Macaca fascicularis: one gene and its partners. The protein of the gene in region 3 interacts with the protein of the main gene of each other region in a pairwise test. Links are inferred from orthologs where the notes say so. Each region holds a gene or a part of one and is shown on either strand. Other genes may lie near its edges.

Region 1 (5,936 bases), on a different chromosome or scaffold from region 3:
ATTTACCTGTTTCAAGTGACTCCATTCCTAGATACCTACTACGTCCTACTCCCGGCCCATCCTCTTCACCCTCCTCCCGTTTGTCCCCCTACCCAGAGCTTCTTTCTACAGATTCCATCTTCTCCTCCTTATGGATTGGGGATCAGAGGATCAGACTCAACCTCACAAGATCTTTTAAGATTTTTTTCCGCAGGGCCTCACCAGTCCAGGCCTTCCCAAGGTCACCCTTTTCTTCTCCCCATCTCCAACGTCAGTTTCTGTCCTTTCCCTCTACCCTCACTATCAACAATGACCAACATTCCTATTGCCCTTATGATGTGCCAGGTCCAGTCCTTAGCATTTTACATATTAATTTTTCACAGTCCTATGAGGTGGCCACTGTTAATATTTTAGAGAGGGAAATTAGGTCCATAGATCCAGAGAGGTGCAGTCCGTTGCCCAATACACAAGTGGAAAGTGGCAGAGCAAGGACACGAACCCACCCATGTAACCACTACTCTCCTATCTGTCAAATGTAGTTCAAAGCTCTTCTGCAACCCCTTGCCTCTCCCCCTCTAAAGAGAGGCTTCCACCCAGGTTTTTTGCAGTGTAATTTTGACAGCATCCACCTGAAGGGATTGTGACCCTTTTGACAAGAAACAAAGCCTTCTCAAGTGTTTCTAAGAAATGTGGGCAAAGTGCCCTATCTGTACCTCTGTCCCTCCGTTTTTCCCCTCATTAACTCAACAAATATTAATCATCTCCTCTGTACAGTGTCCAGAACACACGAGTTCCCTGTCTTGATATTCGATCAGGAGACACAGGAACCAAACAAAATTTTTACACAATTCATTTTAAAATCAGAATTGTGGCAAAGGAGCAAAGAAATACAAGGCCCTATGCAGCCTGCGATAAGGGGACTTGCTCTCTTCTTTCTTCTTCTTGAAGAGGGATCTTTGCCCAGAAGAAAGTCTCTCCTTTATAAAGTCAGTTTCATTCTCCAAAGCCTGAGGGAAAAGGTCTCGCGGTCTTCCCCTGTCCCTCCAAGGAACCTCCCCTGAATACGAGTGGCAGTTAATAAGGAACCCCCGGCCGGGCGCGCTGGCTCACGCCTGTAATTCCAGCACTTTGGGAGGCCGAGGTGGGCGGATCACGAGGTCAGGAGATCGAGACCATCCTGGCTAACACAGTGAAACCCCGTCTCTACTAAAAATGCAAAAAAAAAAAAAAAAATTAGCCGGGGGTGGCGGCGGGCGCCTGTAGTCCCAGCTACTCGGGAGGCTGAGGCAGGAGAACGGCGTGAATCCGGGAGGCAGAGCTTGCAGTGAGCTGAGATCCGGCCACTGCACTCCAGACTCCGCCTCAAAAACTAACTAAATAAATAAATAAGGAACTCCCATCCCTCTCTTCAAGTCGTCTCCCTCCCTCAGGGCCCACAAAGAAGTTGCAAACGGGTTTTGTCCTCTCCTGAAGAAGTGGAAGTTCTTTTCTTCTAAGGAAGTGGCAGATCTTCCCTTCGGTGTCTTCTCCAAGGGGTCTCCCACTTTTTCCCTTCTGTGACAGCCCTTCCTTCATATCCTTCAGGGACCCCACACTCTGAAGATAGCCTTTACATCCCTAATCCCCTTTGGGAAAACCCCCTGGGGCCCAGGTACTCACAGATCTAGCCAATCCCCGAGCCCCAGGCCGCCACAGCAGCAAGAGGGCAGCCTGGCTCAGGCCTCGGTTTGGCCGCCAGACCCTCGCTGCAGCGATCGCTACCGCCATCTTGGCTAGCAACCACTCAGCGGTAGGGCACTCACGTAGGCTAGATTCGGGGCTGCCCCTTTATGTGCCTGACACAAACTCCAGCACCATCTGACAAGAAAATCACCTTCTTCCCATTCTGTTGTAGATAGAATGCACAGAGATTTGGAGAAGAAAACCTATCTACCCAAAATTTTCCCCAGTCGCCTCATTGTAGTTACTCCTGTAACAGGCAAAGAAGAGGGCAACCTGACCACGGCCTCAGGGATTTAGGGCCCGGGGGCCCAGAGTAAAACAGGTCACTGCCAAGGCCTGCCTCCTGTTCTCAACTGTCCAATGGCGTTGCCAGAGTTAGGAGGTGGGACTGGGCGGAGCCAGATTGTTGGTAAACGCTAAGCCACGTGCGGACGCCAGGACTGACGGCCGAGCCCAGCGCGTGCGCAATGGTTACGCAGAGTGTTCGCAGCGCGCGCTGCCGGGCGGAAGTGATAATCGCAGCCGCACGTGGGGTCGGCGCGATGGAGGAGGAGATGCATACTGACGCCAAAATCCGCGCTGAAATTGGAACAGGGTGCAGCCCTCGGGGTCCCGGCTGCAGCCTCCGGCACTTTGCCTGCGAACAGAACCTGCTGTCGCGGCCAGATGGCTCTGCTTCCTTCCTGCAAGGTAAGAACTTACCCAGGTCTTTTGGAGAGGGACTACCATGTACCGTGCAACGGAGTGCCCATCTCCCCATGATACCAGCTGGTAAATGTCACTCCTGCGTTGATACATGATTTCTTGTCCGATTGAATACTACTACATACGCAGGGATACATACATCTCTCCCTCACGACTAGAAAGGAGAAGATAGCTCCATCTTTGTAAATATGTCTGAGAATGACAGGCGGGGCAGACCGTCCCCGCAAGAATTGATATTTCAGAATAGGGAAAATCACCTCACCAGGGTAAATATCGCCCTTAACTAGGTTCCTCCTCCTCACCCCCGCCCCCGCCCGCCCCACACACACGCCCGCTAGGTCCTTGCATCCCGGACTGACGCAAACCTGTCAATTTGCATACTCTGGACTGTGGCGGATCTTTCACCCACGTAAATACTCCTCAAATTGAAGATAATGTCACTGCCCTGGGTTGAAAAATACATCCCCACCGCTACCTCACTGCATCTCTCCACAGGAGTAAATATCCCTAAGATTAGGGCAAGTCTTACCTATAGGGCAAATATCCCCTTCCCCTAGCTAAATAACTCTCAGAACCAGATTAACTCCAAGAATATTTCTCTTTAACGTTTGAGACAGGAGGCTGGGCACAGTGGCTCACGCCTGTAATCCCCACACTTTGGGAGGCCAAGGCGGGTGGATCACCTGAGGTCAGGAGTTCGAGACCAGCCTGGCCAACATGGCGAAACCCCGACTCTACTAAAAGTACAAAAATTAGCCAGGCATGGTGGTGGGCGCCTGTAATCCCAGCTACTGGGGAGGCTGAGGCAGGAGAATCTCTTGAACCCAGGAGGCAGAAGTTGCAGTGAGCCAAGATTGTGCCATTGTACTCCAGTGTGCACGACAAAACAAGATTCTGTCTCAAAAAAAAAAAAAAAAATTTTGAGACAGGGTCTCACGATGTTGCCCAGGTTGGTCTTGAACTCCTGGACTCAAGCAGTCCTCCTCCCAAAGTGCTCATATAGGTACCAGCCACCACGCCCAGCCCCAATACATTTTAACAAAATCTGGCTGCTGTGTTGATTGTGGGGAGTATGGGGGAAAACAGGGAGGTGATGGTGGCTCCAGCCAGAACAGGAGTAGTGGAGGTGATGAGATTCTGGATGTAGTTTGAAAGTAAAACGGACAAAACTTACCTATAGTTTGGTTTGAGTGCGAGGAAAAAGAGTCAGGCATAACTAAGGTTTCTGCCCAGATCTGTACAAGTCTGGAAATCAGGAGAGAGACCCAAGCTGGACATAGGCAATTTGGAACTCTCTGGCTGTATATATGGTATTTCAGCCTATTGACTGAACGAAGTCAGTGTAGATGGAAAAGAGGTCCCAGGACCAAGCCCTAGGCCTTCCAACTTGAGCAGTCAGGGACTTGTGACAAGCAAGCTAAAGGAGACTCAGAAGGAACGCCCAGAGACTTAGGGGGAAACCGGGAGAGGGTGGTGACCTGGGGCCAAGAGAAGAGCGTGTCTGAGATGTGAGGGCTGACAGCTGTTTCGGCCTTACTGACAGCCGGGTCAATGGAGGGTTGATCATTTGGAGGTCAGTGGTGACGATGTTGAGCTGCCGCAGTGGAGTGGTGGGGTCACAGGAAAGGAAGAATAGACAGCTGTTCAGGAGTTTTGCTGTAAGAGGATCAGATAAGTGGGGCAGGAATTGAAGATGGTTGTGGGGTCAACAGGGGAGAGAATTGCTGGAGCCACGTCTTGAAGAAGGTGAGAGGGGAGGGACTCTTGTGCTCAGGTGAAACACAGGCAGTTCATCTGGAGCCAGAGGCGAGTTCTATTTTGGTTTCTCCAGTCCTCAGGGCAGTTTTTCCTGGAACTAAGCACACCTTCCGTGTAAGGGCAAATTGGGCATCCCAGGAAATACCGCCTTAACCAGGGACCTTCCCGGACCCTCCCTCAGGCTTAGCACTTATGCTGAATTGAGATACCTCAAGTTTCTTCGAACCTAAGAATTAAGAAGGGGCCGGGCGCAGTTGCTCACATGGGTTGCTCACACCGGTAATCCAAGCACCTTGGGAGGCCGATGAGGGTAGATCACCTGAGGTCAGTAATTCTTTTTTTTTTTTTGACACAGAGTCTCGCCCTGTCACCCAGGCTAGAGTGCAGTGAAGCGATCGTGGCTCACTGCAACCTCCACCTCCCAGGTTCCAGCGATTCTTCTGCCTCAGCCTCCCGAGTAGCCAGGACCACAGGCGTGTGCTCCCACGCCCAGCTAATTTTTGTAGTTTTTAGTAGAGACGGGGTTTCACCATGTTGGCCAGACTGATCTTGAACTCCTGACCTCGTGATCCACCCGCCTCGGCCTCCCAAATTGCTGGGATTACAGGCGTGAGCCACCTCGCCCAGTCGAGGTCAGGAGTTCTGAGACCAGCCTAGCCAACATGGTGAAAACCCGTCTCTACTAAAAATACAAAAATTAGTCGGACGAGGTGGCACGCACCTATAATCTCAGCTACTCTGGAGGCTGAGGCACGAGAATCACTTGAGCCTGGGAGGCGGAGGTTGCAGTGAGCTGAGATTGCACAACTGCACTCCAGCCTCCTGGGTGACAGAGGGAAACTTTGTCTCAAAAAAGAAAATAGAGACAGGAGTCTTGCTATGTTGCTCAGGCAGGTCTCAAACTCCTGGCCTCGAGCAGTCCTCCCACCTGGGCCTCCAGAGTGCTGGGATTACAGGTGTGAGGCACCATGTCTGGCCTCAAATGTTTTGGTTTTTTTTTTTTTTTTTTTTTTTTTTTTTTTTTTTTTTTTTTTTTTTTGAGACGGAGTCTCGCTGTTATTGTCCAGGCTGGAGTGGAATGGTGCCATCTCGGCTCACTGCAACCTCCGCCTCCCCGGTTCCAGCAATTCTGCCTCGGCCTCCCGAGTAGCTGAGATTACAGGCACCCACCACCATGCCCAGCCAATTTTTGTATTTTTAGTAGAGATGGGGTTTCACCATGTTGGCCAGGATGGTCTCAAACTCCTGACCGCAGGTGATCCACCCACCTCAGCCTCCCAAAGTGCTGGGATTACAGCAGACAGTACTAGAAGCCAGGCTATTTATTTCTTCGGTCTTACCTCCTGTACCCCATTTATAGCTTCTGGGGAAATAAGCAGGAATCAGGATTCATTCCAGATATTATTCCTTTCTCAGGTGTCCAGACTGGACTGGTGCAGAATTTGGGGACCAGTGCCTAAGGGAAGAGCTGGGCTGGGGAACCTTTGGAAAGAGAAGTTGAGAGCAGTGACAGTAAGAGGGAGGATGGTTAGCTTTCAGGAAGAACTTCCTGTTAAAAGTTACTAATACTGGCCGGGCATGGTGGCTCATGTCTGTAATCCCAGCACTTTGGGAGGCCGAGGCGGGCAGATCATGAGGTCAGGAGTTCGAGACTAGCCTAACCAACATGGTGAAACCCAGTCTCTGCTAAAAATAAAAAAAATTAACTGGGCATGGTGACTTGAACCTGTAATCCCAGCTACTCAGTAGGCTGAGGCAGGAGAACTGCTTGA
Region 2 (5,157 bases), on a different chromosome or scaffold from region 3:
CAACCAGAAGTTTCCAAAAGTAATTGCATATTCCCATGTGCAACAATTGTTATATCTGAATACTCAAATAATGAGCATCATACTATCTTATGGTGATTTGCCTGGAAGTTTGGATGACTGTTTGGAAGAAGAGTCATTTCTGTTTTCCAGCAGTAATTCATTCTTTCCACAAAGACTGAGCAACTCTAGATACTATCTGCCAGCCTGTGGCGACAGGTGAATATTCTTGGGGAACTGACGCTCCAGCCAGTGCTCAGGGCTTGTTTTAATCTGACTCTGAATGCAGTCTTCCTTCCTCATGTGCACTGCAAAGTGGGCTGCAGGGTAGAAGGGACCTCACTTGGGTGGGGCTGTGGTGGAGGTGACATGTACATCCCTGAACAGCCAAGCACACGTTTCTTCAGTACAGATGAAGTCATCTGCTTTGTAACTCATTAGAACTACGCTATAGTGGCCATTTCTTTTCTTGTTTGGTTATTTACAAAAGTAACTTGTATCTATTTGTAAAAAGTCAAACAATTCCGAATTGTATAAAGAGAAAAAGATAATCTTCATGCCCCTTTTCAATCTCATCACTCTAAATTAACTAATAGTAAATAATTTGGTTAAACAAGGTTTTTCATTCTCCTCACTTTTTTTTTTTTTTAATAGGGCAAAGTTGAAAACAGGAACACATTGGACCTTCTATTCTCAAAAGGGAATAAGATGTGGAAGAGATAAGATAGAGAAAAAACTGTGAAAGCAAGACTTTGTCATCAGGCTCCCCCCACTGCTTCTCCTGTGCCATCACTGCTGCTGCTGCTGCTTTTTTTCTTCTTTTTTGAGACAGAATCTCACTCTGTCAACCAGGCTGGAGTGCGGTGGCATGATCGCGGCCCATTGCAACCTCTGCCTCCTGGGCCCAAGCAATTCTCAAGCCTCAGTCTTCCAAGTAGCTGGAATTACAGGCACGCACCACCACATCCAGCTAGTTTTTGTGTTTTAGTGGAGACAGGGTTTTGCCATGTTGGCCAGGCTGGTCTCGAACTTCTGACCTAAGTGATCCACCTGCTTGGACCTCCCAAAGTGCTGGGATTACAGGCATGAGCCACTGTGCCCAGCCCATCACTGCTTCTTCTAAGCCACCTGGTGTGACGTTGCCTCTTAAGATGGGAGTGAGGAAAAGGGCACTTATCTGTCCAGAGGACTCCTGCTTTGCCTACATTCTGCTGTTATTAAATCATGGCTGTGGCTCTGGGAAACTAATTCATTAGGCCAATACAATGCTGGAATGCACTACCAAGAGAAGCTCTGGAGTCTGACCCTCTCTCGACACTTCAGAAGAGAAGGGACAAGCATGTGGTGTGGTGGCTCCAGTTCTTTCCTTGGTTGGTCACTGAGGGCTGGCCAGACAATCTGGCCTGGCTTTGCGTCCTGTTTGCCGCCATGTTGCACATGATGACCCTGACTGCACATTCATAACTGGGCTGTTTACACACAGGGTGGTGAGGGGAAAGGGAGGCCACTGACGGGCAGAAGCTGAAGGACTTACGCATCGCCTGCACTGATGGTCATAATTTTCTGGATGCCCCCGGTGTTTAGAAGGTCCCGTGCATTCTGGTAACTGTTTTGGATTATGTTGTTCAATGTGTAACAGGCAGAAGCTGTAGTTTCAATGAGAAGGTCAGTACTTGGGACTGTGTCAGGAATGATGGAAACCAAATCGGGGAGAGTTTCTTTGGCTACAAAATGAAAAAAAAAAACACTTGATTTAAAAGATTGTTTCTTAATCCCAAAATCCCAATACATTTTGGGTAATGAACATTTTTTTTTTTTGAGACGGAGTCTTGTTCTGTGCCCAGGCTGCAGTGCAGTGGCATGATCTTGGCTCAATGTAAGCTCCGCCTCCCGGGTTCACTCCATTCTCCTGCCTTAGCCTCCCGAGTAGCTGGGACTACAGGTGCCCGCCACCACGCCTAGCTAATTTTTTTGTATTTTTAGTAGAGAGGGGGTTTCACTGTGTTAGCCAGGATGGTCTCAATCTCCTGACCTTGTGATCAGCCCGCCTCGGCCTCCCAAACTGCTGGGATTACAGGCGTGAGACACCGCGCCTGGCCAAGAACATTCTTAAAAAGAAACACAGCTGGTTGACAACACATGGAAAGATGTAATTTCCCTAATAACAAATTTTTTAAAATATTTGAAAAGAGGATACTCTGTGCTCAGCACATTGAAAATCTTTTCAGAATGTAATTTGGCAGAAATGTCAAGAACTTAAAACATTTTCATCTTCTTCAATTCGGTCATTCCATGTCTAGTAATACATCTTAAAAACATCACTTTGAAAATGGAAAAAGCTTTCTACAGAGATCTTTATGACAGTACTACACGTAAATGAAAAACTAAAAAGCCTGAATATCCTAATAATAGGAATATGATTAACTAAAACACACCTGCAGAGACTATTACTCATCACAAAACCTATCTATGAAGCATGTGTAATAAAAAGAAAATAATTATGCTAATAGTGTATGTGAAAAATCTGTATATTTATTTATATAAAGAATACATAATATTATTGGCCAGGTTTGGTGGCTCACACCTGTAATCCCAGCACTTTGGGAGGCTGAGGCGGGTGGATCACTTAAGGTCAGGAGTTCAAGACCAGCCTGGCCAACATGGTGAAACCCCGTCTCTACCAAAAATACAAAAATTAGCTGGGCGTGGTGGCACCTGCCTGTGCCTATAGTCCCAGCTACTCAGGAGGCTGAGGCACAAGAATTGCTTGAACTTGGGAGGGAGAGGTTGCAGTGGGCAGAGATCACGCCACCATATTCCAGCCTGCGCAGCAGAGAGAGACCCTGTCTCCAAAAAAAACGAAAAAAGAAAAGAATACATAATATTACCAAAAAAACCCACATAAGAAACCTGAGGAAAAATGTTAATAGGAGCTGCTTTTCTACAACAATATTAATAGTGAACTAAAATCATTTTCTTTTTTTTTTTTTTTTGAGACGGAGTCTCACTCTATCGCCCAGGCTGGAGTGCAGTGGCGTGATCTCGGCTCACTGCAAGCTGTACCTCCCGGGTTCACACCATTCTCCTGCCTCAGCCTCCCGAGTAGCTGGGACTACAGGCGTCTGCCACCATGCCCAGCTAAGTTTTGTATTTTTAGTAGAGACGGAGTTTCACCTTGTTAGCCAGGATGGTCTTGATCTCCTGACCTCATGATCTGCCTGCCTCGGCCTCCCAAAGTGCTGGTATTACAGGCGTGAGCCACCGTGCCCGGCCAAACTAAAATCATTTTTGAGGCCAGGCACAGTAGCTTATATCTGTAATCCCAGCACTTTAGAAGGCCGAGGCAGGTGGATCACTTAAGCCCAGGAGTTTGAGACGAGTCTGGAAAATATAATGAGACCCTGTCTCTATTTTAAAAAGTACAATTAAATAAGTGAATAAATAATAAATGAATAATCTTTGCTTCCCAAGATTTTTTTCAATACATAAGTAATACTACCATTCTAAAAAGAGAAATAAACTATTTTAAAGGTACTTTTCTACTATGTATATGACTTCTTGGTTGTAAGTTTGAGTTTGGCTTTCTTTTTGTACTAATAAGAAAGGTATTAAAAAAAATAGACACGTCACTTTCACAATTAGGCTACAGAAAATAAAAAAGACACATAGACCAATGGAACAGAATAGAGAACCCAGAAATAAAGCCAAATACTTACAGCCAACTGATCTTTGACAAAGCAAACAAAAACACAGAGTGGGGAAAGGCCACCTTATTCAACATATTCAACAAATGGTGCTGGGATAATTGGCAAGCCACATGTAAAAGAATAAAGCTGGATCATCATCTTTCACTCAAAAACCAACTCAAGATGGATCAAAGACTTAAATCTGAGACCTGAAACCATAAACATTCCAGAAGATAATCATGGAAAATCTCTTCTAGACATTGGCTTAGGCAAAGAGTTCATGACCAAGAACCCAAAAGCAAACGCAACACAACGCAAAATAAGTAAATGGGATTCAATTAAACTAAAAAGCTTCTGCACAGCAAAAGAAATAATCAGCAGAGTAAACAGATATCCCACAGAGTGGGAGAAAATATTCACAAACTGCATTCGACAAAGGACTAATATCCAGAATCTACAAGGAACTCAAATCAGCAAGAAAAAAGCCAAATAATTTCATCAAAAAGTGGGCTAAGGACATGAATAGACAATTCTCAAAAGAAGATATACAAATGGCATATGAAAATTTTTTTGATAAGCTTCAAACAAACATGAAAAAAATGCTCAACATTACTAATTATCATGGAAATGCAAATTAAAAGCACAATGAGATACCACCTTACTCCTGCAAGAATGACCATAATTTAAAAATCAAAATATAATAGATGTTGGCATGGATGTGGTGAACAGGGAACACTTCTACACTGCTGGTAGGAATGTAAACTAGTACAACCACTATAGAAAACAGTATGGAGATGCCTTAAGGAACTAAAGTAGAGCTACCATTTGATCCAGCAATTCCACTACTGGGTATCTACCCAAAGTAAAAGAAGTCATTATATGAAAAAGACACTTGTACATGCATGTTTATAGCAGCACAATTCACAATTGCAAAATATGGAGCCAACCTAAATGCCAATCAACCAACAAGTGGATACAGAAAATGTGGTATATATACACCATGGAACACTACTCAGCCATTAAAAAGACAGACATAATGGCCTTTGCGGCTCAATTGGATGAAATTAGAGACCACTATTCTAAGTGAAATAACTCAGGAATGGAAAACCAAATATTGTATGTTCTCACTTATAAGTGGGAGCTAAGCTATGAGGATGCAAAGGAATAAGTGATATAGTGGATTTTGGGGACTTGGGGAAAGGTAGGAAGGGGTGAGGGATAAAAGACTACACATTGGGCACAGTGTGCACTCCTCAGGTGACAGGTGCACCAACATCTCAGAAATCATCACTAAATAACTTATCTGTATAACCAAACACCACCTGTACCCAAAAACTTATTGGACAATTTAAAAAGGTATTACTATTTGACAAGTCCACCGGAACTTGTCCTGTGGTACATATTTTGGTCAATGCGAACTTGTGCTTAAACTTTTTGTAATAGTTATTTTCATGTATGTTTTCCTCTTTTTCCT
Region 3 (5,697 bases):
CCCTGGGCAGTGCCCACAGATGTCAGGCAGGCAGCAGTGCTGGTGTGAGTAAAGGGCCATGTGTGTTCTACCTCCGTGGGAGAGAGGGAGGGGCAGTGGAAAGCACCTAGACCCCAGACCTGACCTGACTCTGTCACCAACCAGCTGTGTAACTGGAATCCTAGTCTCTCTCTCACCAGTTTTGTGACCCTGGCCAAAAGCTTAACTTCTCTGAGCCTTTTTTTCTCAATGCTACAATGGGGTACAACACCTACCTTGAAAGTTCAATAGGCACCCTGGAATTATCAAGGCCAGTGGCTTTCAAACTTTTTTCCCTTGAATCAGTGGAAAATGATTTTTAAGCACAATTTTACAACATCTAAGACAAGTGGAAGAGAAGCTGTTGCCGCCAGGCTGAAGCAGGAGTAAGGACCCAGTGACCTGTGTGCCCAACATGCCCGGGTGCAGCTCGAGCCCCACTGGACTGGCTCCACACTGTGCGGCTAATGACTTTCATTAGGGAGAGAGAGGGCTTTCAGCCATCCTAGTCTGGAAGGAGCTGGTAACCAAGGCCATAAAACTCAATCACACCTACCTCGTAGTACACACCACAGGGGTGAACTGACTTTACACACTCGGTTCTCAAAATTCCCAGCTTAGACAGAATACCAGCTAACGACTGACCTTTACTAACCTTATAAAAGGATTAAATTTCATTCTTTCAACAGGTATTTCCTAAAGTGTCAGGTGTTTGGGGGAAGGTTTCCGTATTTTTCATGACTCAGTTCAAATGCCACCTCCTCCTGAAAGCCCTCTGCAGTCTCAAGTGTGCTCTACCTGTGGGCAGGGAGTCTACCTCTGGTCCTGACTCTGCCTTAAATTTTGTGGTCCCAGTAAGGTGATATTACCTTTCTGGAGTCCAGCAAAATGAAGGGCCCTTCCAGCATCAGCATCAGTCAAGGAAGGGGTCACCCTGAATGCTCAGAGTCTTTCAGCCCACTGCCCTGAAAAGCACAGGCCATAGCCCAGGCCGAGTGGTGCAGACTGGTCCACACGTGTGCTCCCAGAGACACACACACTGTGTCTGGGCAGTGCGTAAAGCCATCCACCAGCACTCGGGGGTTGGCATGGAGTGGGCACACAGTTTATGACAGCTGGCTTCCTGGGAATGAGGATCCATCAAAGCAACAGGGGCTGCTGGGAGGAGGAGGAAGCTGGCAAGAAATGAGGGGTGGGACTCACCAAGCCTCCGCCTTGGTACTGGCTGCGGGACACATGCCGGAAGCCCTGCTGCAGGGGGACGCCAGGAGGGGCGTCCAGGTAGCCCAGCGGGAACGGGCAGTAGGGGTGCATGCTGGAGCCGCCAGGGTACTCAGGGCCCAGTGCACGGTCCGGGTTGATGCTCACAGGGCGCCCTGAAGAAGGCAAGCAAGGAGGGAAGTGTTAGACACCGCTGGGAAAAGCATCCGCAGGGTGGCACAGGCCGGCGGAGTCGTAAGCGCTGCTGTCCAAGCACAGAAAGCCCACCCCGCCCTTCCTTCCGCTGGGCCCTCACTGCATCTCCATCCTCCAGCCAGCCCCGCTGCTCTTGGAGAGTCCTCGGCACGGCCATCAAGCCCGCTGTGGGCCCCCGGCCTGCGGCTCCCCGCTGCCCACACGCCGTCTGCCCACACTCTGCCTCTACGAGTCCTCCGTGCCAAGTTACTCTTCCTCCGGGTCAACAGTGAACCCGGCCATGGCTCGAGCTCTGGACAGCGATTTGTGTGACTCTTCAATCAACCCTGTCCCTCCCACAAGGACAAGGTCCCTGAGGGCAAGAAATGTGACCCGCGTCCTTCATCACGAATGCCTGGCTCATAGTTCAGCCCAGCCCTGCTTGTCTGTTGAGATGGAACAAAGAAAGGCGGCTTCTCCTAGAATTGCAGTTTCAGACCTGTGACCCCATCAGATGGGGCGTTCCCTGGGGACCTAGATTTTCCTGGAAAGTCAGGAAGGCGGGACGAGCCTGCGGAAGCCTCTGGACCAATGCCCTGGCACACAGAGGGCAGGAGCTTGTCCAGCGTGACCCAGGCTCCCGCCTCGGCCTCAGCCCGTCCCACGACACCACCATGGGGAGACACCAGGAAAACGCGTCCACACCAAACCCCGGGGCTTTTAAAGCTTCAAATGTACATGTGACTTGAAACTGTACTTCAATACCGAAAGCTCCAAGGCACAGGGAACAATGTAATTTATGTACCAGGTGAGGGGCAAAAAGAAAGGCAACATCTTTACAGACCAACTGTTCTCTTACGTGTAGTAAAGCAGCAGGCTCGGCTCACCCGCACGTGGGGAAAGGGAGGGAAGAGGTGCACAGGCGCACTGGTCCAGGGCCGTGCTGAGGGGAGGAGCCTCCCGACCGCGAACAGGGAAGGAAGAGTGCGCAGGCGCAGTCGTCCTTGCGCTAACCTGCCGGCAGGAAAAGTCTCTTATTCTGGAGGAGGAGCCTCCAGCCCAAGGAAATGGCGGGAAGAGGTGCGCAAGCGCAGTAGGACTGGGCTCCTCGAGGCCTCTTCCCGGAGGAGGAAGCACTGCTAAGTCGACTGGACGCCATTTTGTTCTTGCATGCCAGAATGGCACAAACTACAGCTAAATGTTAAAAGCCCTTTGAGCCAAGCGCGGTGGCTCAAGCCTGTAATCCCAGCACTTTGGGAGGCCGAGGCGGGTGGATCACGAGGTCAGGAGATCGAGACCATCCTGGCTAACATGGTGAAACCCCGTCTCTACTAAAAATACAAAAAACTAGCCGGGCGTGGTGGCGGGCGCCTGTAGTCCCAGCTATTAGGAGGCTGAGGCAGGAGAATGGCGTGAACCCGGGAGGCGGAGCTTGCAGTGAGCCGAGATCGCGCCACTGCACTCCAGCCTGGGCGACAGAGCGAGACTCCGTCTCAAAAAAAAAAAAAAAAAAAAAAAAAGCCCTCTGAACCGCCCATTCCCTTATGTTTCCTTTTTGCGAAAAGGTACCCAATCCAAATCCCCGTTCCAAGAAGGGTTTCTTAAAGCAGAAGGTACGTTACCCGTGGAAAGCATTCTCCCCACCCCAAACCCCTATGCCAGCTGCCCATCCGGGCTGGCCTGTACTGCCAGCTCGGGGAGTCCACCGCGGGACTGAGGCCACGACTTACCAAAGTCGGTGAACGGCGGGCCAGGCACGGGCCGCAGCGGCCTGCGCAGGTCCAGGGGGCCGGGGTAGCCACTGCCTGTGGCCTCCGCCCCAAAAGGGGGTCCCGCAAGGCTGGGCATCGCCACGGCGGCTCGCTCGCTCGGCTCCACGTGGCCGCGGCCGCCCAGAACCGGTTGGAAGGCGCTCGGGCCGGGACTCCGGCCCCGCGGGGGCCGCTCGAAGAAGCAGGCGGCCGCGCGGCCCTCGGGTCCCGGCTCGGCGTCTCCGGAGGGAGTCCCCGGAGGCAGAGGGCGCAGGCTCCCGCCCGGGAGGGGAACGGGCGCGGCGGCCGCGGCCCCGGAGGCCTGCTCTGGACCCTGCGCACACAGGGCCGCCTCCTGCTCCTCCTCGGCGGCCTGCGTCTTGAGCACCTTCTGCGCGGCCATGATCTTCTGGCGCTCGGAGATCAGGTAGCACTTCTCGCAGAGGCACTGCTTCCAGCGGCATTTGCCTGCGTGGCCCTTGACGGGAACCAGGAAGCCATGGTTCCTGCATCTCGAGCACTTAGGGGTGCGCACCATCTTGTCGGCCATTGGCAGGGTCAGCCTTCGTAGCACAACCACCACCTCTGGGAGCTGCAGAGCAAGTGGCGCTGGGTTGAGCCGCGCCCCACAAGTCCCTGGTTCTGGGGACATTGGATACACTTGTAACAAAGCACCTCGCAGTGTGTCCCGGGAACTGCAGCAAGAACCTTGCATTTTCCCTCCTTTTGGGGGGTGCACAGTTTGGAGAGTTTCTGTGCTTTGGGTAATTAGATGCAATGGACTGGGTTGCATAAATTCTTAATGGGATTCTATTGCATGTATGTCATTTAGCTTATCTGAAGTCTTAGGCATGTAATTTTCCAAACTCTATTCCCGCCACCGACGGAAGGTATTTGTAACTTCAGGAAAGGCGGAGTGATATTCAACGGTCCACAGATTTAAAACTCGGGAGGAATGTAGCTTTCAGTGTAGAAAAGCACTGTAAGAGGCAAACCGTATTTCTCCTCCCTAAAGCTGCTGCTTCTGTGGCATTTCACTTCTCTGCCGTGCAGAGATGCTTCCAGGATATTCCAGAATATTTTCAAGAGCTCAGTGCAGTGTGATGGTTGCTCAAGGGTATGCCCTTGCAGTAATTCCCGTTTCTTGAGAGTCTTTGTGTAGAAATCCTCTTCTGGAGGATGGCACATTGCTGATGTTCATGCCTTCCAAAGTAAGCATACTTAGAATATTTTAAAGTAAAATAGGCAGAATATTCTGGCACTAAGCCTGGCATAGTGTCCTGTGCCTGTAGCCCTAGCTGCTTGTGAGGATCACTTGAGCCCAGAAGTTGGAGACCAACATGAGCAACATAGCGAGACTCCTGTTTCTAAAAAATTAAATAAAACAAATTCTGCAAGACCCCTGTTTCTAAAAAATTAAATTAAAAAACTGTCTAGCACTAGCTTCAGTAATTGCTTAACCTCATCATGAATTTTGTTATCCTTATAAAACAACGCAAATATTGGGACATCTGAAAAGCTAACACAAACGTCATAGTTTACCCAAGGACATTAAGGTTTTTTTGTTTTGTTTTTTCTTTTTTTTTTTTTTTTTTTTGAGACAGAGTCTCACTCTGTCACCCAGGCTGTAGGGCAGTGGCGTCATCTCGGCCCACTGCAACCTCTGCCTCCCAGGTTCAAGCGATTCTCCTGCCTCAGCCTCCTGAGTAGCTTGGATTACAGTCACCCGCCACCATGCCCAGCTAATTTTTATATTTTTAGTAGAGACGGGGTTTTCGCCATGTTGGCCAGGCTGGTCTTGAACTCCTAACCTCAGGTGATCCGCCTGCCTGGGCCTCCCAAAGTGCTGGGATTACAGGTGTGAGCCACCGTGCCCAGCCATTAATTCATCTTTTAAAAACAAATTTGTAACACCCTGAGGCCTCTCTCTCTTTTCCCCCTACCTCCCCACTGCCTCCATTTTCCTCCCCTCCCCTCTCCTCCCTTCTTTGTCCTAAAAAAGGAAAAAATGGGTCACTAACAAGCCGAAAAGCTTCTAAGTAGATCAGTCACATTTAAGGAGGAGTTACAGTTAACAAGTGGCTAAGGCCGGGCACGGTGGCTCAAGCCTGTAATCCCAGCACTTTGGGAGGCCGAGACGGGCTGATCACGAGGTCAGGAGATTGGGACCATCCTGGCTAACACGGTGAAACCCCGTCTCTACTAAAAAAATACAAAAAAACTAGCCGGGCGAGGTGGCAGGCGCCTGTAGTCCCAGCTACTCGGGAGGCTGAAGCAGGAGAATGGCGTGAACCCGGGAAGCGGAACTTGCAGTGAGCTGAGATCCGGCCACTGCGCTCCAGCCTGGGCGACAGAGCGAGACTCTGTCTCAAAAAAGAAAAGAAAAAAAAAAGTGGCTAAAATTTGTGCATTTTTCATTGCCCTTTCTTTGAATTCCTCTCTTTCTGGTGGTAGAATGGGAGAAGCCCACGCCTGGTGTCCACCTTGATTTTTTTGAGTCTCTGATCGTAGTTGTACCTTGCGTTTCTTACTA
Region 4 (5,746 bases), on a different chromosome or scaffold from region 3:
AAGGCACTTAGCTTCATCTTTCTTGGGTTTCCCCTTATTTGTAAAATTGGGATAACAGTCTAACCTAAGCCCAACTTGTACTGATGATTAAATGAGATATGTATGTAGAACATTCGGCATAGTGCCTAGGAGCTTAAGAAATAAGCAGGCCATTAAGAAGGGGGTTGCATTTTATACTAGCAGCATCAAAACCTTGTGTAACTATTTTTCTAGGTACTGAAACAGCATTCATTACTCAGAGACCAGAGCTTTTTTTCAAGTTACTATTCCCTGCATTTAGAAAGTTCATCTTTAAATAGGCAATTCAGTAAGTAAATATTCTATGGCTCTAAAACAGATACTGCTGTTGGAGAATTTAAAATATCTGAGAGTTACATTTTTAACGTTGTCTACCAAGGCTATTACATTTCCTCTGTCAAAGTAACTTAATTTTACAAACGAACTCTGTGCTTGTTAAATGAAAAGGCCAGAAGCTACTGGCCACTCAGCGTTCGTTTGAAATTCTTGTAGTGCCTTCAGTACAACTCAAACTTAGAGGTGATTCTCAGAATTCGTGTGAAGCAACATTTCACAAAAAAAATCACCTACGTTCACTATTAAGTCAGAAGACAGAATGATTAACAGTAAATTTCAGCCGCGAATTACTCAGTATCAACTGGATATTAAATAACTGCATTATTTTAATGGAATGTTATAAAGGATTTGCAACAAAATGCAGATGCAGATGTAGATTTAGGGACTGTCGACTTCTATAGATCAAGGAGGACTTCATTGTTGCAGCTCAGAACATTCTTCCAAACAAATCTAAATGTTGGAAATCCACCACACTGCAGAGAAAGACCTCTTGCCTCCGTATTCTTTCTTCATCTGTAAAAATGTTGACTTCTGCTTTTCAGACTACGCGCACAGGCTCTTTCCTACTGCGGCTTCATTCCCTCACGGAACACTGATGCCATCGCGAAAGAAGCATTTCGAGCACGACTAACGCTCCCCTTATAATTTGCTAAGCCGCTGCGCTCGGGTCTCGCTACGATTTGCTTTCAGAATAACGAGAAGGTGCAACAAGATCGCTTCCCTGGCGGCGCGTCAACCGCTTGGCCCAGACCCCCCACGCCCGCCCACCGCCCCGTGGGTGCGCACGCGTGTCCGCGCACGCTTCCCCGCCTGGCGAGCGCGAGGCTTCTCTCCGCCGTGCTGCTTTCCAGCCTCTCAGCAAATCACGAACACGGAAGGGAGCCACGGCGGCGACGGGAGGGGCGTCGCGCGTGGTTCCCTCGGCGACAAAGCGGGAGCCCGGCGCGACGGGCGCCCTACCCCGCAGAGGCGGACGCCGCCGCACGCGCCTCAGAAAGCCTCAAACTCCAGTCCTCGGCTCCCCCGCCACACCCCCGCCCCGCAGCCAAGACCCGCGAGGTGGCGGGCCCGACGGCCAGGGCAAGCCCACCAGCCCTCCGCACCGTGGGCGACTGGCCAGCGCCCGGCCCTAAACGGGCAGCCCCAGCCCCTAGGCGGCTGCCGCCCCCAGCCCCGCCCACGCCCCACGCAGGCGCGCTCCGGGCCCCTTCCCTCCCCCACCGCGCGCTCGCGGGGCCCGGCGGGGGCGGAGCGACCCTCGGAAGGGGCGTGGCCACGGGGCACGACGCGCGCACGCGCTCTGGAGCCCCATGGCTACGTGTCGGGCCACGTGATGCCCACCCCGAAAGTCCCCCGTGAAGCAACAGGACGTTAAAAAAAATTTCTTTTCTGCGGGGTGGATGAGAGGTTCTGAAAAAACTATAGTAACGGGAGGCGAGGCGGAGGCAGCGCTGGCGCGTCCCGCTGGAATTCCTCCCGCCTGCCGCGCCAGCCCCAACCGCGCCCGAGCCCCGCGCCCCCCCGCGGCCGTCAGCCCCGCAACCCACACCCACCCGCCCCGGGCGCCCCGCACGGCGGCGACCCAGTCCCTGCGCCCAGGCCCGGGGCCGCCGAGCGCCGCCGCCCGTCACGCTCCCGTCGCCCCCGCCGCCCGCCCCGCCAGGGAGGCAGGGAGGAGGGGGCACGGCGCCGGCTGCTGCCCGGGTCGGGGGGCGTCGGGCAGCGGGAGCGCGCCGGCCGGGCCCCGCTAACGGCCGCCCTGCGCGGCCCCGCCCGCCGCCCGCCCCCGGCCCTCCCCGCGCCTTCGCCCCTCCCCCCCCGCCGCTGCTGCCGCCGCCGCTGGCAGCGCCGCCTGAACTGAGGCGAACTCCGCCGCCAAGTGAGTGAGGAGGAGGAGGAGAAGGAGGAGGAGGAAGAGGAGGAGCGCAGTCAGAGCGCGGCGGCAGCGGCAGCGGCAGAGGCGCCGCGGCGGGGACCAGCCCAGAGAGACCCCCCGAGCCCGCGGCACAGGCGGCGGCGGCGCTGAGCGGGCGCGACCAGCCGAGCGAGCGGCGGCCCCGGCTCCTCCTCGTCCGGCGCCAGCGGCCCGCGCCCTGCGCCCGCACTCGGCCAGCCGAGACCCGCCTCCCGCCCGCCCGCCGGCCTCGTGAGGGACGCGCCGAGCCGGGCGGCCGAGAGCGGCGGCGGCTGGGAGCGCGTCGGGCCCGGGCGGAAAGTGCCTGCGGGGGGCGGGCGAGCGCGCGGTGCCGGCCGCCCCGGGGCTCGGCGCGGGAGCCAGAGCGGGAGCCGGCGCGGAGCGGGACGCCGGGTCCCGAGCGGCCCGCGGCCGGGGCTCGCCCCCGCCCCTCCCTCCTCTCCGGCGGCGGCGGCGGCGGCGGGCGGAGTGAGCTGCGGAGCCTGGAATATGGTCGGGGAAATGGAAACGAAGGAGAAGCCGAAGCCCACCCCAGATTACCTGATGCAGCTGATGAACGACAAGAAGCTCATGAGCAGCCTGCCCAACTTCTGCGGGATCTTCAACCACCTCGAGCGGCTGCTGGACGAAGGTGAGCGTCTCCGGGGCCCCGGCCCCGGCCCGATCCCCGCCGGGGCGGCCCCTTTCCCTGCTTGGGATGGTGGGGAGGGCGGGAAGGTCACGGCCGGGCGGGACCGCGCGCCGGGGGGACTGGGAGGCCAGGAGGGCGCACAAAGGAGGCGCCGGGCCGGGCTTGCGGCGGCGGCGGGCGGGCGGGCGGGCCGGGGTGGACCCGCCGGGGCCGGACGCCCCCTGCCCGGCCCGGGACCCCGCGCCGCTGGCGCCCAAGTTTGTGCGCTGCGGAGGGCTGCGGGGCGAACCCTGCGGCCCCTCTGGCTTTGGCGGTCACATTTCCGAGAGGCCAGCGGGGGCTGCGCGGGCTCGGTGGTCCTCGCCAAGCCCTCCCGAGAGCAGGCCCACGCCGCGCCGCCGGCCTGGAGGACGCGCGTGTCCCCGGCGCGGGCCCCGCTCCTCTCCTCGACCTCCTGAGCTTGCTCTGCGCGGACCCCCGCTGCCCCGCGTTCGGGAGCTCTCTCCCTCCCATGAGGACTAAAGCGGGGTTTCGTGCTTGGGGAGTTGGTGCAGCTGGTAAATACTAAGTGGAAGTCAGAGTGGGGCTCGTTAGTTTAAAGAAATTCCATAGGAGACCGAAATTATGCTGGCGTAGCCGACAAGGAGGACGAAGTGACGGCGAAAAGCACTTTTTTCCCTTTTGTTTGGGGAAGCGAGAACTGTTAGGGAGTTGAACTTCACTTTTCGGGGGTGGGGGGGGGGGTGGAGTGCGAAATAACGCGATGACAGATCGGAGCGCAGCCTGAGTTAGGAAGAACTTGGGCGGAGGGTTTGCTCCCGGAGACGCAGCCGCCCGAGTTTGTAGGACAGGGAATCGAGACGTTTGGAAAGGGCGAAATAAAATTGAGCCGAAGTTTTCAAAAAGCTTTATGGAGCGCTGTGGGGAGCGAAGAATGACAAGAAGATTAATGTTGACCAACTCTGGAATTTCCTTAAGAAGTTCTCATAGCAGTATCTGGAGTATTAATTTCTAGTAGCTGTGGGTTTCTGTGGACGCCTAGAGACAAAAATAAATGACCACAAAAAAGTGTTTCGAAAATCGACTAGCCAGGAGTTTTTTTTTTTTTTTTTTTTTTTTTTTCCTGCTCAGAGGCATCACCGGAGGACTGTGTAAAGGAAACTGAAAACTTTAGGTTGAAGAGATGAGCAATGGAGTTTAGATTTTTCGCAAGAATTTCGAGATTTTAAAAATAGAGTCGGGGAACAGGAGTTTGAAGCTTGGGGAGTTGGAATGTCATTAGAGAACAAAAGGCCGGAAATGTTTCCATGATAAAAAGATGATTAAAGAAAAATCCCTGGAGTTTTATTGTCTTGAAAGTCAAAGAAACAACTTAAAAGTAGAAAATGGTTAGGTGTTACGGCTTTCTCGTCGTTTTGCTTCCATATGTTAAACATACAGCACTCACCAGCATTGAAATGGGCATTTTCCACTGTTGGAACAGCAAATCTGTTAATTTCAAGTTGCTCCAGAGAAAACTTGAGCTGTCCCTTTAAAGGGTTCTGCTTTTCCTGTTTGTGTTGGCATTTGAAAGATTGTGGAGGCAGAAAACTTTCTGGAATGTCAAAAAAAAAAAAAAAAAAAAATTGCTGGAACTCTTAAATTGAGTATTTCCAAATGTGAGCGCTAAGGGGCGCCAGTTATTTTTTAACCATGGAAATGGTTGGAACCAAATGTGTAACATACTCAGTAATCTGACCTATATTAAATTTAGTTGAAACTTAAATTATAGATTATTTGATTTGTCATGTGTTTATATAGTGTTTTCGAACATTGAAAACACTTTCCTTAAAATTATTAGCACAACTTCATGACGTTTCAAAAGTAACACTCTTAATATTTTCTCCTTGGCATATTTCGGTTAAGTTAAAGTTTTAGTAGTATTAGTAACAATTTCTGGTGAAAGTTTTTTTTCTTGAGTGCAGTTGTTTAGAAGGAATCCTTTATCGACGATAAAATGAAAATAGGCCTTGACAATATTTAGGGTTAATTAAAATTAAATTGTATTCTTGAAATGTTGAATTCAAAGACTATAGGAGATTCCAAAAATGTGAAAATACTTTCACCTTATGTATACTATTTAAAAAACTGCATACTTTTGAGTTTCTTTAGTTTTAAAAGGCTTCTTGTGCTTTTGTGTTGATCTAAAATCTCTAAATTTAGAGCTGATTCCTTGTTATCAAGTTTCCAACCTTAGGCTTTAATAATTTTTAATCTTTCAAATCCAGAAATGTTAATTATGTCATTATCTCTAACAAAGGCTTATTTCTCTCTGGTTGGAAATAGTTCTCATTTGCGTTTTAAATGTAGGAGATCACTATGATATCGCTTAGATAATGTTTGTTTCCCCTTCCCCTTTTAATGTGGTTTACTCCATCTCTCATCTTACTCTGTCTTTAGTTTTTGCCTTGTCAACTCCCCAGTGTAAAGATTGCTTCTGTATGACATATAGTATGTTTAAAATGGGCAATATAATGACAAGGAAGCTTGATTGTTTTTTATCAGACCAGTACAAACATGCAGGAAAAAGGGCTATTCCTTAGTGTGGAATAAGCTGCTTCCTGTAATTGTTAGTCTTATTATAAACTTAATTTGATTTAAGAAAAATATTGGTTTCTGAAGTCCATCACATTTTTTTTTTCTAGATGATTTAATTGTGAAATTTGGCATCTTGTGCTTTACCCCTTTGTGGTTTGTCATTGTTCAAAACAAATTAATCATGACTTTTGTTTCTGGTTAGGCATTACTTTTTTGTTTTTGTTTTTTTTTGCCTATAATGCTTGGTCGAAAAATTACTTTTAAATCTA

Evidence for each region.
Region 1: the proteins of DMRTB1 (region 3) and EXOSC5 interact in a two-hybrid assay, tested with the Homo sapiens proteins (2 studies listed by BioGRID). The link is inferred for Macaca fascicularis from reciprocal best matches to the Homo sapiens genes DMRTB1 and EXOSC5.
Region 2: the proteins of DMRTB1 (region 3) and PKP2 interact in a two-hybrid assay, tested with the Homo sapiens proteins (2 studies listed by BioGRID). The link is inferred for Macaca fascicularis from reciprocal best matches to the Homo sapiens genes DMRTB1 and PKP2.
Region 4: the proteins of DMRTB1 (region 3) and QKI interact in a two-hybrid assay, tested with the Homo sapiens proteins (2 studies listed by BioGRID). The link is inferred for Macaca fascicularis from reciprocal best matches to the Homo sapiens genes DMRTB1 and QKI.

Annotation. Positions count from the first base shown.
Region 1 is NC_088393.1:48,537,026-48,542,961, reverse strand, and holds the start of EXOSC5 (exosome complex component RRP46), read left to right. Parts: upstream 1-2,178; 5' UTR 2,179-2,243; coding exon 2,244-2,391; intron 2,392-5,936. Other genes in the region: BCKDHA (2-oxoisovalerate dehydrogenase subunit alpha, mitochondrial), read right to left, coding at 1,639-1,746. UniProt on the Homo sapiens protein: Non-catalytic component of the RNA exosome complex which has 3'->5' exoribonuclease activity and participates in a multitude of cellular RNA processing and degradation events.
Region 2 is NC_088385.1:35,401,937-35,407,093, forward strand, and holds part of PKP2 (plakophilin-2), read right to left. Parts: intron 1,722-5,157; coding exon 1,532-1,721; intron 1-1,531. UniProt on the Homo sapiens protein: A component of desmosome cell-cell junctions which are required for positive regulation of cellular adhesion.
Region 3 is NC_088375.1:181,218,438-181,224,134, forward strand, and holds the start of DMRTB1 (doublesex- and mab-3-related transcription factor B1), read right to left. Parts: upstream 3,738-5,697; 5' UTR 3,715-3,737; coding exon 3,144-3,714; intron 1,395-3,143; coding exon 1,222-1,394; intron 1-1,221.
Region 4 is NC_088378.1:7,713,157-7,718,902, reverse strand, and holds the start of QKI (KH domain-containing RNA-binding protein QKI), read left to right. Parts: upstream 1-2,279; 5' UTR 2,280-2,758; coding exon 2,759-2,900; intron 2,901-3,685; exon of another isoform or gene 3,686-4,218; coding exon of another isoform or gene 4,219-4,288; intron 4,289-5,746. UniProt on the Homo sapiens protein: RNA reader protein, which recognizes and binds specific RNAs, thereby regulating RNA metabolic processes, such as pre-mRNA splicing, circular RNA (circRNA) formation, mRNA export, mRNA stability and/or translation.